Linked DNA regions of Anolis sagrei. The main gene of each other region encodes a partner of the protein of the gene in region 2 in a complex. Links are inferred from orthologs where the notes say so. Each region holds a gene or a part of one and is shown on either strand. Other genes may lie near its edges.

Region 1 (7,144 bases), on a different chromosome or scaffold from region 2:
ATTAAAATACCTGACATACCTCTCTTTGCAGGGCTCTGTGAGGCTGGTGCGCGGCCGCCCCAGGAAGAAGGTGGTCGACCAGGAGAACTAGAGGCCACATTGACAAAAGCGTCTAAGGACGATTGGGTTCACCTGGCTGCTCATGATGCCGCCTTCAGCCCGAGGAATGCCTTTCTTTCAGACTTTTTCCTCAAAGGCAGCTACATCCAAAGGGGGCCAAAGATGTGTTGCTGGCTTTGGCGACAGAGGAAACAGCTGCTGGACGGCCGTAGCTTTTAATGGGGAGGCCTCGAGGGGTCCCTCCCTCGTTCCCTGCAATTTCTAAGGGGCCAAACTTTGCAGGGTTCATCCTTTAATCCAAAGTGCCTTTTCCCATCTTCTCTTTGTGCCTCTTGCCTTTCGCCATGTGCCTTTTCTCAGCATCAGGCACACGGTTGCACCATTGAAACGGCCTGCCTTTTTGAAGCGGTGCCAATGGCACAGAGACTGGCTTCGCTTCCCGAAACTCCATGGGTTTTGGAGCTGTGGCTGATGAGAAACCAAAGCAAACCCGCAGCCTCTTGGGTTCCCTTTTTGCCAGAGAAGGACCTCGGTCCGGCTCAATCGCTCACATTCCCTTCTCTCTGTGAAAACACTAACTTGGCTACTACTTGAAGACCACCACAGGCTCAGACACTTAAATGTATTTGTAATGTTTTAATATTATTTTTAAATAAACACATTTTGTCTTGTAAGGTGGCTCTGTATTTATTTGGTTTGGCAAATGGAATGTGGGTGACTCAGGGCAATTTATTTTAATATTGCTATTATAAATAATAGGGGTCGCAGTGGGCTAAACTGTTAATCTGTTGAATTTGCTGATTGTAAAGTCAGCAGTTCAAATCCAGGGAGCAGGGTGAGGTCCCACTGTTAGACCCAGCTTCTCCCAACCTAGCAGTTTGAAAACATGCAAATGTGAGTTGATCAATAGGTACCGCTTCTGCGGGAAGGTAACAGTGCTCCATACAGTCATGCTGGCCCCACGACCTTGGAGGTGTCTATGGATAACACCACCTCTTCAGCTTAGAAATTGAGATGAGCACCAACCCCCAGAGTTGGACACAACTGGACTTAATGTCAGGGTAAAGCTTTACTTTTACTTTTTATTATAAATAATATAAATTAAATCATTTTATATCAATTTATATTAATATAGAAATAATATTAGTTATTGTTAATAGTAGTTTTTGTATCTTTCCTCAAGGCAGATCAAACTCAATACCATTAAAATAAATATATTAAAAATATAGGACAAAGATTAAAATGCAAATAATAAGTTATACATTTATTAATTTCTTGTAAGCTGGCTCTGTGTTTATTCTGTTTAGAAAGTGGAATGTGGGTGAAGCAACGCTATTTATTTTAATATTGCTATTATAAATATGAAGATAAATATAAATATCAATTATATTAAAATACAAATAATAATATTATTGGACTTTTAGCTGCAATCAGTGAGGCAATCTGCATAGAGACCTGTTGGAAATATGAAACAAGTGGAATGTATATGTGTGTGTGTGTGTGTGTGTGTGTACATATATATATGTGGAATGATGCCCAGGGTTGGAGAAAGAACGTCTCTTTGAGACAAGTGTGAATGTTGCCATTGGCCAGCTTCATTAGCAGCTGCAAAGTCAATCTGTGAGGGTATCTGAAAAGAACACCACTCAGAAACAGGAGAACTCACACAACAAGCAATCAAGTGCCAGTGAATGCCTCCCAAACAGAGGGTGCCTCCAGGCAACAATGGCCAGGCTACCACTTTGCAGATACTCCCAATGATTGACTTTGTAGCTGCAAGGGTATTCAATGCTAATCCAGCTGCCAAGGGAGAAAACATGGCGGCAGTGACAGACTTTGCATTTCTAGACGTGAAGATGAACGCAGATGCAGACTGCAGCTAGGAAATCAAAAGACGTTTCCTTCTTGGGAGGAGAGCAATGACCAGTCTCGATAAAATAGTGAAGAGTAGAGACATCACACTGGCAACAAAGATCCGCCTAGTCAAAGCAATGATATTCCCAGTAGTAACCTATAGATGTGAGATCAGGACCATAAGGAAGGCTGAGCGAAAAAAGATAGATGCTTTTGAACTGTGGTGCTGGAGGAAAATTCTGAGAGTGCCTTGGACCGCGAGAAGATCCAACCACTCCATACTTCAAGAAATAAAGCCCGATTGCTCATTGGAGGGAAGGAGATTAGAGGCCAAGATGAAGTACTTTGGCCACATCATGAGAAGACAGGAAAGCTTAGAGAAGACAATGATGCTGGGGAAAATGGAAGGAAAAAGGAAGAGGGATGGATGGCATCCTTGAAGTGACTGGCTTGACGTTGAATGAACTGGGGTGGTGATGGCCATCAGGGAGCTCTGACGTAGGTTGGTCCATGAGGTCACAAAGAGTCAGAAGCAACTGAACAAATAACAACAACCAGCTGCTAATGGCAACATTCACACTTGCCTCAAACAGATGAGAGTTCTTCCACCCTGGGTCTCATTCCCCAAGTATATATACAGTCCAGTTGCCTCTTTTCCAGCAGACCTCTATGCAGATACCATCACTGATTGACTCTGCATTATTTTTTATTTTATCGTGTCAGGAGAGAACCAAAACAGTTGTACTGCATTAAAAACAAACAAACAAACAAAAAAGTTTGCAGACTTGGTATTCCATTAAATGTCCTTTGACCAGTATCTGGCCCCTTGGAGTGCCTCTGGTGTTGCTGCAAGAAGGTCCTCCATTGTGCATGTGGCAGGGCTCAGGTTGCATTGCAGCAGGTGGTCTGTAGTTTGCTCTTCATATTTATATCCATATTTATATCCAGGCATCCTCATATTTATATCCTGCTTTTCTCCCTCACGGGACAAAAAGTGGCTTAAAACATATTTATTTATTTATCGTGTCATCAGCAACCATACCATTGGATTACATTTCTAACAGAACAAAACAAACAGATTAAAAACCCCCCACAGATTTTGCAAATTTGTTAGTTGATTAAATGTCCTTTGACCAGTATCTGGCCACCTGGAGTGCCTCTGGTGTTGCCGCAAGAAGGTCCTCCATGGTGCATGTGGCAGGACTCAGGTTGCATTGCAGCAGGTGGTCTGTAGTTTGCTCTTCTCCACACTCGTATGTTGTGGATTCCACTTTGTAGCCCCATTTCCTAAGGTTGGCTCTTCATCTCGTGGTGCCAGAGCGCAGTCTGTTCAGCGCCTTCCAAGTTGCCCAGTTTTCTGTGTGCCCAGGGGGAATCTCTCATTGGGTATCAGCCATTGATTGAGATTCTGGGTTTGAGCCTGCCACTTTTGGACTCTGGCTTGCTGAGGTGTCCCAGCGAGTGCCTCTGTAGATCAGCTATTTCTTGATTTAAGTCGTTGACGTGCTGGCTGATACCGAAACAGGGGATGAGCTGGAGATGTCACTGTCATGGTCCTTTCACTATTGGCTGCTACTTCCTGGCAGATGTCAGGTGGTGCAATACCGGCTAGACAGGGTAATTTCTCCAGTGGTGTAGGGCGCAGACACCATGTGATAATGTGGCATGTCTCATTAAGAGCCACATCCACTGTTTTAGCGTGGTGAGATGTGTTCCACACTGGGCATGCAGACTCAGCAGCAGAGTAGCATAGCACAAGGGCAGATGTCTTCACTGTGTCTGGTTGTGATCCCCAGGTTGTGCCGGTCAGCATTCGTATGATATTGTTTCTAGCGCCCACTTTTTGCTTGATATTCAGACAGTGCTTCTTGTAGGACTTTGCATTGATTTGATTTTTACAGTCTACTTGCTTCATTTCCACAGACCTCACAAGCTCTGAGGATGCCTGCCATAGATGTGGCCGAAACGTCAGGAGAGAATGCTTCTGGAACACTCGGAAAACTCACAACCCAATACTAAACCTGCTTTCATTCATTCATTGCTTTCTTAACTCGGAAACTGAAAATAAATGTATGTCTCTAACTTTTTCCTAAGTCTATGCTCTCACAAACAAGTCTCGCATAAACCCCGCCCACTAGGAGCTCGCTTTCTCGTCTGCGTGTTGACGTCACGTCCCCCGGCGCATGCGTAGTGCGTAGCGCGGGTACATTCAAACAAGAGAAGCGCCGGTAGAAAAGACTCGTCCGCATTTGACAGGTTCGTCGCTTCAGAACGGGCAGCGGCGGCGAAGAAGACTCGTGTGGCCGGCGGGAGAGGTAAATAGAGGCCTGTTCCTTGGGAATTAAAGGCTCGAAAGAGAGGAAGGGAACTGCGGCCTAGTCAGGCCTTCGCTTTGTTTGAAAGAAGGAAGCGAAGAGGTTTCTGATTGGTCAACAAGGGGAAGGCTCAGCCAATAGGGAGTGTTGAAATATGGAACTCTTCCAGGGCGCGTGTTGATTGGACAAGGCGCGAGCGATGATAGCCAAAAGGGTTGCTGTAAGTTTTTCGGGCTGTATGGCAGTGTTCCAGAAGCATTCTCTCCTGATGTTTCGCCTCCATCTGTGGCAGGCATCTTCTTATTTATATCCCGCTTTTCTCCCTCACGGGATAAAAAGTGGCTTACAACATATTAAAATCATCTAAACAACAATCTAAATATATTGATGACCAAATATATTGATGCATCGTTGGAGCAAGGGGTTTTTCCGTCTCAATTGAAACAAGCGGTGGTGCGTCCACTCCTCAAAAAGGTTTCCCTTGACTCCACGGTGCTGAACAATTTCAGACCGATCTCCAACCTTCCTTTTTTGGGCAAGTGCTGGAGCAGGTGGTTGCCTCCCAGCTCCAGGGCTTTCTAGATGACACCAACTACCTAGATCACAGTCTGGTTTCAGGCCTGGTCACGGTACCGAGACAGCCTTGGTCGCCTTGGATGGTGGATGACCTCCGTAGAGAGCTGGACAGGGGGAGTGTGACTCTGTTGGTTCTCTTGGACATCTCAGCGGCTTTCGATACCATCAATCATGGTATCCTTCTGGGCCAACTCTCTGGGATGGGTGTTGGGGGCACGGTTTTGTCGTGGCTCCGATCCTTCCTGGAGGGTCGATCCCAGATGGTGAAGCTGGGAGATGCCTGCTTGGACCCCTGGCCATTGACCTGTGGGGTCCCGCAAGGCTCTATTTTGTCTCCCATGCTCTTCAACATCTACATGAAACTGCTGGGAGAGATCATCCGGAGTTTTGGAGTTAGGTGCCACCTCTATGCAGATTACACTATTACTCTATTACTCATTTCCACCCAACTCCAAGGAGAGTTGAAACACAGTTGGTCATGCAGGTTCTCTGTGCAAAATTTGACCCAGTTATATCAGTGAGGTTCAGAATGACCTTTGATTGTAAGTGAACTATAAATTCCAGGAATTACAACTCCCAAATGTTAAGCCTATTTTCCCCAAACTCCACCAGTGTTCACATTTGAACATATTGAATATTCGTTGCCAAGTTTGGTCCAGATCCATCATTGTTTGAGTACTCTCTGGAGGTAGGTGAACTGCAACTCCAAAACTCAAGGTCAATGCCTAACAAACCCTTCCAGTATTTTCTGTTGGTCATGGGAGTTCTGTGTGCCAAGATTGGTTCAATTCAATCATTGGTAGAGTTCAGAATGCCCTTTGATTGTAGGTGAACTACAAATCCCAGCAACTACAACTCCCAAATGACAAGATCTATCTCAACCCCACCAGTATTCAAATTTGGGCGTATTGGTTATTTGTGCCAAATGTGGTCCAGTGAATAAAAATACATCCTGCATATCAAATATTTACATTACAATTCATAACAGTAGCAAAATTACAGTTATGAAATAGCAATGAAAATAATGTTATGTTGGGGGTCACTGCAACATGAGGAACTGTATTCGAGGGTCGCGGCATTAGGAAGGTTGAGAAGGACTGGTTTAGGGCTTTAAAGGTCAAAAACAGCATTCTCCTGGCTTTGCTGGTTCTGTTGCCTCCCCCAAAGTGCGATGTAGGCAGAGGGAAGTAGTTTAAAAAAGAATCAAGGATTTCTCCAAGACTCCTTTTCATCCCTCTGGAATATAGATTTGATAAATGGCATTCTTCCTGTCTCCCAGTAGCAATGAGTTCCTCAACCCCACAATCGGCCGGGCGGAAAGGAAGCACCTCTTCCGACAGCGTGTTTGTGTCTCCTGGCACCAGGCGGCAGCCACTGAGTTCCTCTGGGACCCCTGTCTTGGAGAACTGCCCCGACAATGACGACGAACGAGAAAGGAAGCAGAGGCGGCGCTCCAGAATTGTTGACCTGCAGTTTAGCACTGACTCGCCTCTGGCCATACAATCTCCCTCCAACAAGTAAGAGCAGATTTTGGAAAAAAACGAATATGTTCATATGTGTGCAGTTGTTTCTTACGGTAGAATGCTGGAGAGTCAGCTCTCCATATTCTCTAAGTTTAAAAAAGCGAGATCCCTCTAAAAGAGGGAAAAAATGAATAAAGAAAACCTGAGAACACCTCTTTAGAAATCTTAGCCATACAATGCAACTCTGCAGTCTATTTTGGAAAGTTTACCATAGAATCCTGCTGCAGGACCTGCAGGCCTAGAGAAGTGATCTCCCTCGTGATCTCTTAAGTCCTCTATGGCAGAGGTTTACCATACAGATGTCCTGGAGGACCTGGAGATACCGAAAAAGAACGTATTAATCAAGTCCGCAAACAATCAAACTCGCAAAAGAAACCTGCCAGTGTGGAATGCTGGCTACTGTATATACTCGAGTGTAAGCTGAGTTTTTCAGCTCTTTTTTAAGGCTGAAAAAGCCCCCCTTGGCTTATACTCGACTCAAAGTTATTTATTATTTTACTCTGTTATTATTATTATTATTATTACATTTATTTTACTCTATTTATTATTATTGTTACATTTATTATTTTACTCTATTATTAGTAATATTACATTTATTTACTCTACTAATTTTTATTATCTCTATTATTTTACCCTATTGTTATTATTACATTTATTATTTTACTCTCTTTATTATTGTTAATACATTTATTATTGTTCTCTATTGTTATTATTACATTTATTGTTTTACTCTATTATAATTTTTATTACGTTTATTATTTTGCTCTCTAATTGTTATTATTACATTCATTATTTTACTCTATTATTATCATTACA
Region 2 (7,347 bases):
TTGGCAAGAATTCAATGCCACCATACATATAATAAAACAATAGCTAAACACTGGCATATAATTATAAATTAAAATCACTAAAACCATATAAAACACTAAGGCAAAGCATTAAATCCTAATATAAATATTAATTCTTACAAGTTTATATTGAGGTTGTTTTTATTCACCGTTTCTGATTTGGATTTTTCCTGTTTGCTTATTATGGCATTAAGGCAGGAATGGGCAAACTTTGGTCCTTCGGGTGTTTTGGACTTCAACTCCCAGAATTCCTAACAGCTACTGGCGGTTAGGAATTGTGAGAGTTGAAGTCCAAAACATCTGGAGAGTCGAAGTTTGCCCATGCTTGCATCAATGCCATAATAGACAAACAGGAAAAATATGAGATTGATACATGCTTGCTAATGTATTGTCGCATGCTTTAATGGTTGGAATCACTGGGTAGCTGTGAGTTTTCTGGGCTGTCTGGCCATGTTCCAGAAACACTCTCTCCTGACATTTCACCCACATATATGGCAGGCACCCTCACAGGTTGTGAGGCTTGTTGAAAACATTAAGGCTTGCCTTAATAGCACAACCGGGCAGTGTTTTAAGACTGCGGAAGGAGGTTCTGTTGAACTTCTGCCGTCACTAGGGTTGGTGTCACTCTGTGTGGTAACAAATAGTGTCGACCCTTTGGACCTCCTATTGGACCACACCAGACTCCATAGAGTGTTGTAGCTAAATTACTTGAGAATGTGACAAAATCAAACACTATAAGAAAGTTCAGTCTACTATGTTAATAATAAAATATATTGGGTTGTTGTAGGTTTTTTCGGGGTGTATGGCCATGTTGTAGAGGCGTTTTCTCCTGATGTTTTGCCTGCATCTATGGCAAGCATCCGGTCACTACCTCTGATGATGCTTGCCATAGATGCAGGCGAAACATCAGGAGAGAATGCCTCTAGAACATGGCCATACAGCCCGAAAAAACCTACAACAATCAGGTGATTCCGGCCATGTAAGCCTTCGACAATACATATAATATATTGTATGTACATATAATATTGATATTATAATGTAATACAATACTACTAACAATAAATAATATAATAATTATATATGTATTACATGTAATATTACTAATATTGCATTATAGTGGTACAGTACAATATAGTAATATATAATATTTTGCTATGCTAATAATATATTGGCCATGTTCTAGAGGCGTTTTCTTCTGACGTTTCGCCTGCATCTATGACAAGCATCCTCAGAGGCTTGTCAGTTGTGAGGCTTGTTGGAAACCACCCTGAGTCCCTTAAATAAATAGGGTGGGTTACAAATAAATTATTATTTTTTTATCATTATATTACAATTGGTAATTGGTAATTTTTTATAAAAAGTAGGACCAGTTTCTCTGCTGATTAAGGCTTATTCATTTTCATTTAGGAAACAGGTGAAGACTTGGTTATGGAGATAGGCATTCGACGAGTGAGCCAACACCCTGAGATATGGATGGAGGATGATGAGCAACGATTTTAGTATGACAGGTCGCAGGTTCGAATCAGGGGAGAGTCGGGTGAGCTCCCTCTATCAGCTCCAGCTCCTCATGCGGGGACATGAGAGAAGCCTCCCACAAGGATGATAAAAACATTAAAAAAAATCATCTGGGCATCCCCTGGGCAACGTCCTTGCAGACGGCCAATTCTCTCACACCAGAAGCGACTTGCAGCTTCTCAAGAAGCTCCTGACACGACAAACAAACAAAAAAAAGTATGATGACTGACCATTATAGTTATTGTATTGTCGAAGGCTTTCATGGCTGGAATCACTAGGTTCTTGTAGGTTTTTTCGGGCTATAGGGCCATGTTCTAGAGGCATTTCTCCTGACATTTCGCCTGCATCTATGGCAAGCATCCTCAGAGGTAGTGAGGTCTGTTGGAAACATGGCCCTATAGCCCGAAAAAACCTACAAGAACCTAATTATAGTTATTGATTGTAATTGCTGTTTTAATGTTTTACTGTAATATGTATTATGATGTTTTATTGATTGTATGTGATATTATGGTTGGAAACCGGTCTGAGTCCCTCAAGAGAGGTGAGAAGGCCGGTATACAAAACTTTTAAATAAATAAATCGACGAAAAATAATATTTTCAAAAATTAGAAAAAATATTATCTCCTGTGACAACCTTAAAAAAGCATAAGGTTTCTAATTGATTGTAATTGCTGTTTTAATGTTTTACTGTAATATGTATTATGTTGTTTTATTGATTTATGTGATATTATGGTTGGAAACCGGTCTGAGTCCCTCAAGAGAGGTGAGAAGGCTGGTATACAAAACTTTTAAATAAATAAATAAATAAAACGACGAAAAATAATATTTTCAAAAATTAGTAAAAATATTATCTCTTGTGACAACCTTAAAAAAGCATAAGGTTTCTAATTTCTCCCATTAAAAAAAATAGATAGATCCATAGAGGCAAATTGTGGCGGGGAAAAAGGGAAATTAAAGAATGCCGCCTTTTTCCTTTCTTTTAAATTCAGACTCCGATGGAAAACAACACCTCATCTTGTCTATTATTATTATTAATATTGATCATAATGATCATGATTATATTTTTCCCTTCAACCCCACAGAGAAGTCATAGACCCCATTTATGGGGGAAGTTTCTCTCCTCTGATTCGAGTTCCTCCAATATCTCCAGAAGCTGAAGCAATCAGTAATGGTCACAGTATGAGCAGCGATGATTTCCAAGCGTGGGGCTGCCTTCTCCCCCGCTCCCGGGATCCCAAGGCCCGCTTACCGTCCTGCGCCTCCCTTCAGAGCTTGCTCCCTCCGCTCGCTTCCTGCCTGCAGCCTTGGCGGCTTCCACACTCGAAAATGGCGCCCAAACGGCAAACTCGTAACGAAATTCGTTAGAAATGCGCAAAGCATGCTGGGGGAAAAGGAAAAGGGGCGGGGCTTCCACGGGTTTGAAAGGAGGCGAAAGAAGAAGGGAGGGGGGAGAGGAGGGAGGAAGAAAAACCCCCTCAAGCGCCGCCATCTTGTTTTCCCGTTAGCGAGCTGAAAGGCGGCTGTAGTGGCTGTAAAAATGTTTTCCACGTCAGGAATTAGCTTTTTTTCCCTCTGTCTTATTTTGACTCGTGGAATTGAGCAGGTATTCTTATTTATTTAATTTTGCTATCAAATCTAAATCGTATGGGTTGTTTTGCCGATATAAAGACGGTTTTTGACAGGTCGGCGCTCTGACGTCACGACGGGTGTGGGAGGGGGGAAGGAGCGAAGAGTGCGATCGGAGAGGAAATCTCGCGAGAAGTCGCTATAGAGACGGAGCGGCGTCGCCAACGCAGGGCTTTGGGCGCGAGCTGAAGTCGCAACAAGGCTCCTCTTGGAGAGACTCTGGATTCCCTATTTATTGGCTTCTACAGGTAAGGGAGCTGATTTTGAGGGTCTTCAGGGCGTAGGTCTCTGCACTGACATTCCACAATGGTTTACATATCTCTTAGTTTGGGTTGTTGTAGGTTTTTTCTGGCTATATGGCCATGTTCTACAGTAGTGGTTCTCAACCTGGGGTCCACAGATGTTTTTGGCCTACAACTCCCAGAAATCCCAGCCAGTTTACCAGCTGTTAGGATTTCTGGGAGTTGAAGGCCAAAAACATCTGAGGACCCCAGGTTGAGAACCACTGTTCTAGAGGCATTCTCTCCTGACGTTTCGCCTGCATCTGTGGCAAGCATCCTCAGAGGTAGTGAGGTCTGTTGGAACTAGGAAAAAGGGTTTATATGAGGAGTTTTATTTGTTGGATCAGTGGCTTAAATCTGGGTTTAGAAGGTTGCTTTTACATATTAATATATTGTTGTAAAATAACCTGAATCACCATTAGTGAAGGAAGATAGATGCTTTTGAACTGTGGTGTTGGAGGAAAGTTCTGAGAGTGCCTTGGACTGCGAGAAGATCCAACCAGTCCATCCTCCAGGAAATAAAGCTCATTGGAGGGAAGGATACTAGAGACAAAGTTGAAGTACTTTGGCCACATCATGAGGAGACAGGAAAGCCTAGAGAAGACAATTATGCTGGGGAAAGTGGAAGGTAAAAGGAAGAGGGGCCGACCAAGGGCAAGATGGATGGATGGCATCCTAGAAGTGACTGGACTGACCTTGAAGGAGCTGGGGGTGGTGACGGCCGATAGGGAGCTCTGGCGTGGGATGGTCCATGAGGTCACCAAGAGTCGGAGACCAAGGTAGAGACATCTCCAGCTTATCCCCTGTTTGGGTATCAGCCAGCACGTCAACGACTTAAATCTAGAAATAGTTTTCTAAGATCTACAGAGACACTCGCTGGAACACCTCAGCAAGCGAGAGTCCAAAAATGGCAGGCTCAAACCCAGCACCTCAACCAATGGCTGATACCCAATGAGAGACTCACTCCTGGGCACACAGAAGACTGGGTGACTTGGAAGGCACTGAACAGACTGCGCTCTGGCACCACGAGACGCAGAGCCAACCTTCAGAAATGGGGCTACAAAGTGGAATCCTCGACATGCGAGTGTGGAGAAGAGCAAACCACTGACCACCTGCTGCAATGCACCCTGAGTCCTGCTACATGCACAATGGAGGACCTTCTTGCAGCAACACCAGAGGCACTCCAAGTGGCCAGATACTAGTCAAAGGACATTTAACCAACTACCAAACTCACAAGTTTTGTATTTTTCTATTTGTTTGCTTTGGTCTGTTAGAAATGTAATATAATGGACTAGTTGCTCTGACACGACAAATAAAATAAATAAATAAGTCGGAGACGACTGAACGAATGAACAAAAATAACATATCTGTGGAATGACCAGGGTGGGACAAAGGACTCTTGTCTGCTGGAGATAGGCGTGAATGTTTCAACTGACCACCTTGATTGGCATTTGAGGGCCTGGCAGTGCCTGGGGCAATCTTTTGTTGAGAGGTGATTAGGTGTGTCTGATTCCCCCCCCCCCCCCCTGTTGTTTTGCTGTTGTAATTTTAGAGTTTTTTAATACTGGTATCCAGATTTTGTTCATATTCATGGTTTCCTCCTTTCTGTTGAAATTGTCCACATGCTTGTGGATTTCAATGGCTTCTCTGTGTAGTCTGACATGGTGGACAAGAGGGATCCTCTCACTTCTGCAGGAGTCTACCGTATACCATGCAGCTGGCAGAGGCGGCCCGAGGTAATTTTCAACGGTAAGCAAACAGTATTTTGGCACCCCCCACCCCCCAACCAATCACTGATATATATTTTCTGTTCGTCATGGGAGTTCTGTGTGCCATATTTAGTTCAATTCCATCATTGGTGGAGTTCAGAATGCTCTTTGATTGTAGGTGAACTATACATCCCAGTAACTACAACTCACATATGTCAAGGTCTATTTTCCCCCAAGAGCGCCTCAAGAGCGCCCCTGGGCAAAATCAACTATACTGCAAATGCTTATTTTGCGTAATGGGTTGAGCTGTCCTTGAGCTGTGGACAAGCCTACATAGGGACCACCAAACGCAGCGCCCAAACACGAATCAAGGAACATGAAAGACACTGCAGACTACTTCAGCCAGAGAAGTCAGACATAGCAGAGCACCTGATGAACCAACCTGGATACAACATATTATTTGAGAATATAGAAATGCTGGACCACTCTAACTACCATCATGTTTTCTGATGGTCTTTGGTGACCCCTCTAACACCCCCTTGCGACCCCCCTCAGGGGTCCCAACCCCCAGGTTGAGAAATGGTTCCTTACTATCTATCTCAGGCATGGACCAACTTTGGCCCTCCAGGTGTTTTGGACTGCAACTCCCACAATTCCTAACAGCCCAAGCCTGGCTTAGGTAGATAGAGCTGAAAGAGAGATATATAATCCCTACAAAACACTATCTACTATTTTGAAACTGGTTGCCTTTAAAAGTAATTTTCCAAACTCTATCCAGGCAAGTTACATTGCACAGGGCTTTTAAATGTATTCAAATGGCACTTGATTCCCTGCTCTAACCCACCCCACAGAAATTTCCTTTGCTATATTAGTTTTACTCTCGGTTGATCTGCTGAATTTGCTGAATGGTTGGCGGTTCCAGTCCGGGGAATGGGGTGAGCTCCTGCTGTTAGTCCCAGCTTCTGCAAACCTAGCAGTTTAAAAACATTCAAATGTGAGTAGATCAATAAGGTACCGCTCTGGAAGGATGGTAACCGAGTTCCTTGCAGTCATGGTGGCCAGATGACCTTGGAGGCATCTATGGACAACACTGACTCTTCAGCTTAGAAATGGAGATTGAGCACCCCCCCTCCCAGAGTTGGACACGACTAGACTAGACTAATGTCAAGGGGGAAAGCTTTACCTTTTAAAATGCTAGTTTGAACATTTTCAAGGCTGCCTTTCGCTTTAGACTGGCTCTTTATTTCAAATTGCTCTTAATCTGTCTTTAAAATAATATTTTTTGCTTGTAAAAAAACTTAAGAGTTTGGGTTTGCCAGTTCCAAGAGCCGACCATAGTTCCCTCATCTCTTCCATCATTCCGAAGGTGCAGGGAGATCTCAAGCAATTCCTAACAGCTTCTCTTAGGAATTGTGGGAGTTGAAGTCCAAAACACTGGGGGGGGGGGCAGGTTTGACCATGCCTGTTCTAGAGCAGCAGAAAACAAGGCTGTTCCCCCTTTTCTTCAGACCAAACCACATCTGATTGTTTTAACTTCCCTAAGAATGCTCTATGAAATCCATAGTGTCATCATAATTTGACAGGTAACTTGATGACATATACACACATAGTGGTACATTACATTTTTTGGATGGAGGTCTGGATATTTTGTGATCCCAGATGTGATAGTTCCTCCTCTGTGATCAGTTGACAGTTTTGACAGAAAATAGTTGTCCCTTTGGGACAAGGCGTTCTATCCCCTGCTGGATTATCCAGTCAGCTATCTCAACAGCTGTCATGGAGCCCCAGTGGTACAGTGGGTTAAACCTTTGTGCCGGCAGGACTGCTGACCAACAGGTCAGAGGTTCACATCCGGGGAGAGTGGATTGAGCTCCCTCTGTCAGCTCCAGCTCCCCATGCAGGGACATGAGAGAAGCCTCCCACAAGGACTGTAAAACATCCAGGCATCCCTGGGCAACGTCCTTGAAGATGGCCAATTCTCTCACACTTGACACAAAAAAGCCCCTATCATACTGTTTGATGGAAGAGCCATAAGTTATATCTCCTTGGCATTGTCATAGAATAGAATCACAGAGTTGGAAGAGATTCCAAGTGCCATCCAGCCCAACCTCCTTCTGAACAGTGACATACAATCAAAGCCCTCCCAACAGATAGCAATCCAGCCTCAGATTAAAAGGCAGCGTTTTTTGGACTCTCCT

Evidence for each region. Proteins that work in one complex are often made in the same cells at the same time.
Region 1: SMC4 (region 2) and NCAPH share a complex: the UniProt entries of both Homo sapiens proteins name them as parts of the condensin complex. The link is inferred for Anolis sagrei from reciprocal best matches to the Homo sapiens genes SMC4 and NCAPH.

What each region holds. Positions count from the first base shown.
Region 1 is NC_090027.1:23,074,917-23,082,060, forward strand, and holds the start of NCAPH (condensin complex subunit 2), read left to right. Parts: upstream 1-4,072; 5' UTR 4,073-4,229; intron 4,230-4,427; exon of another isoform or gene 4,428-4,449; intron 4,450-6,084; exon of another isoform or gene 6,085-6,087; 5' UTR 6,088-6,089; coding exon 6,090-6,322; intron 6,323-7,144. Other genes in the region: REEP4 (receptor expression-enhancing protein 4), read left to right, coding at 32-91. UniProt on the Homo sapiens protein: Regulatory subunit of the condensin complex, a complex required for conversion of interphase chromatin into mitotic-like condense chromosomes.
Region 2 is NC_090023.1:246,700,980-246,708,326, reverse strand, and holds the start of SMC4 (structural maintenance of chromosomes protein 4), read right to left. Parts: upstream 3,038-7,347; 5' UTR 3,023-3,037; coding exon 2,783-3,022; intron 1-2,782. UniProt on the Homo sapiens protein: Central component of the condensin complex, a complex required for conversion of interphase chromatin into mitotic-like condense chromosomes.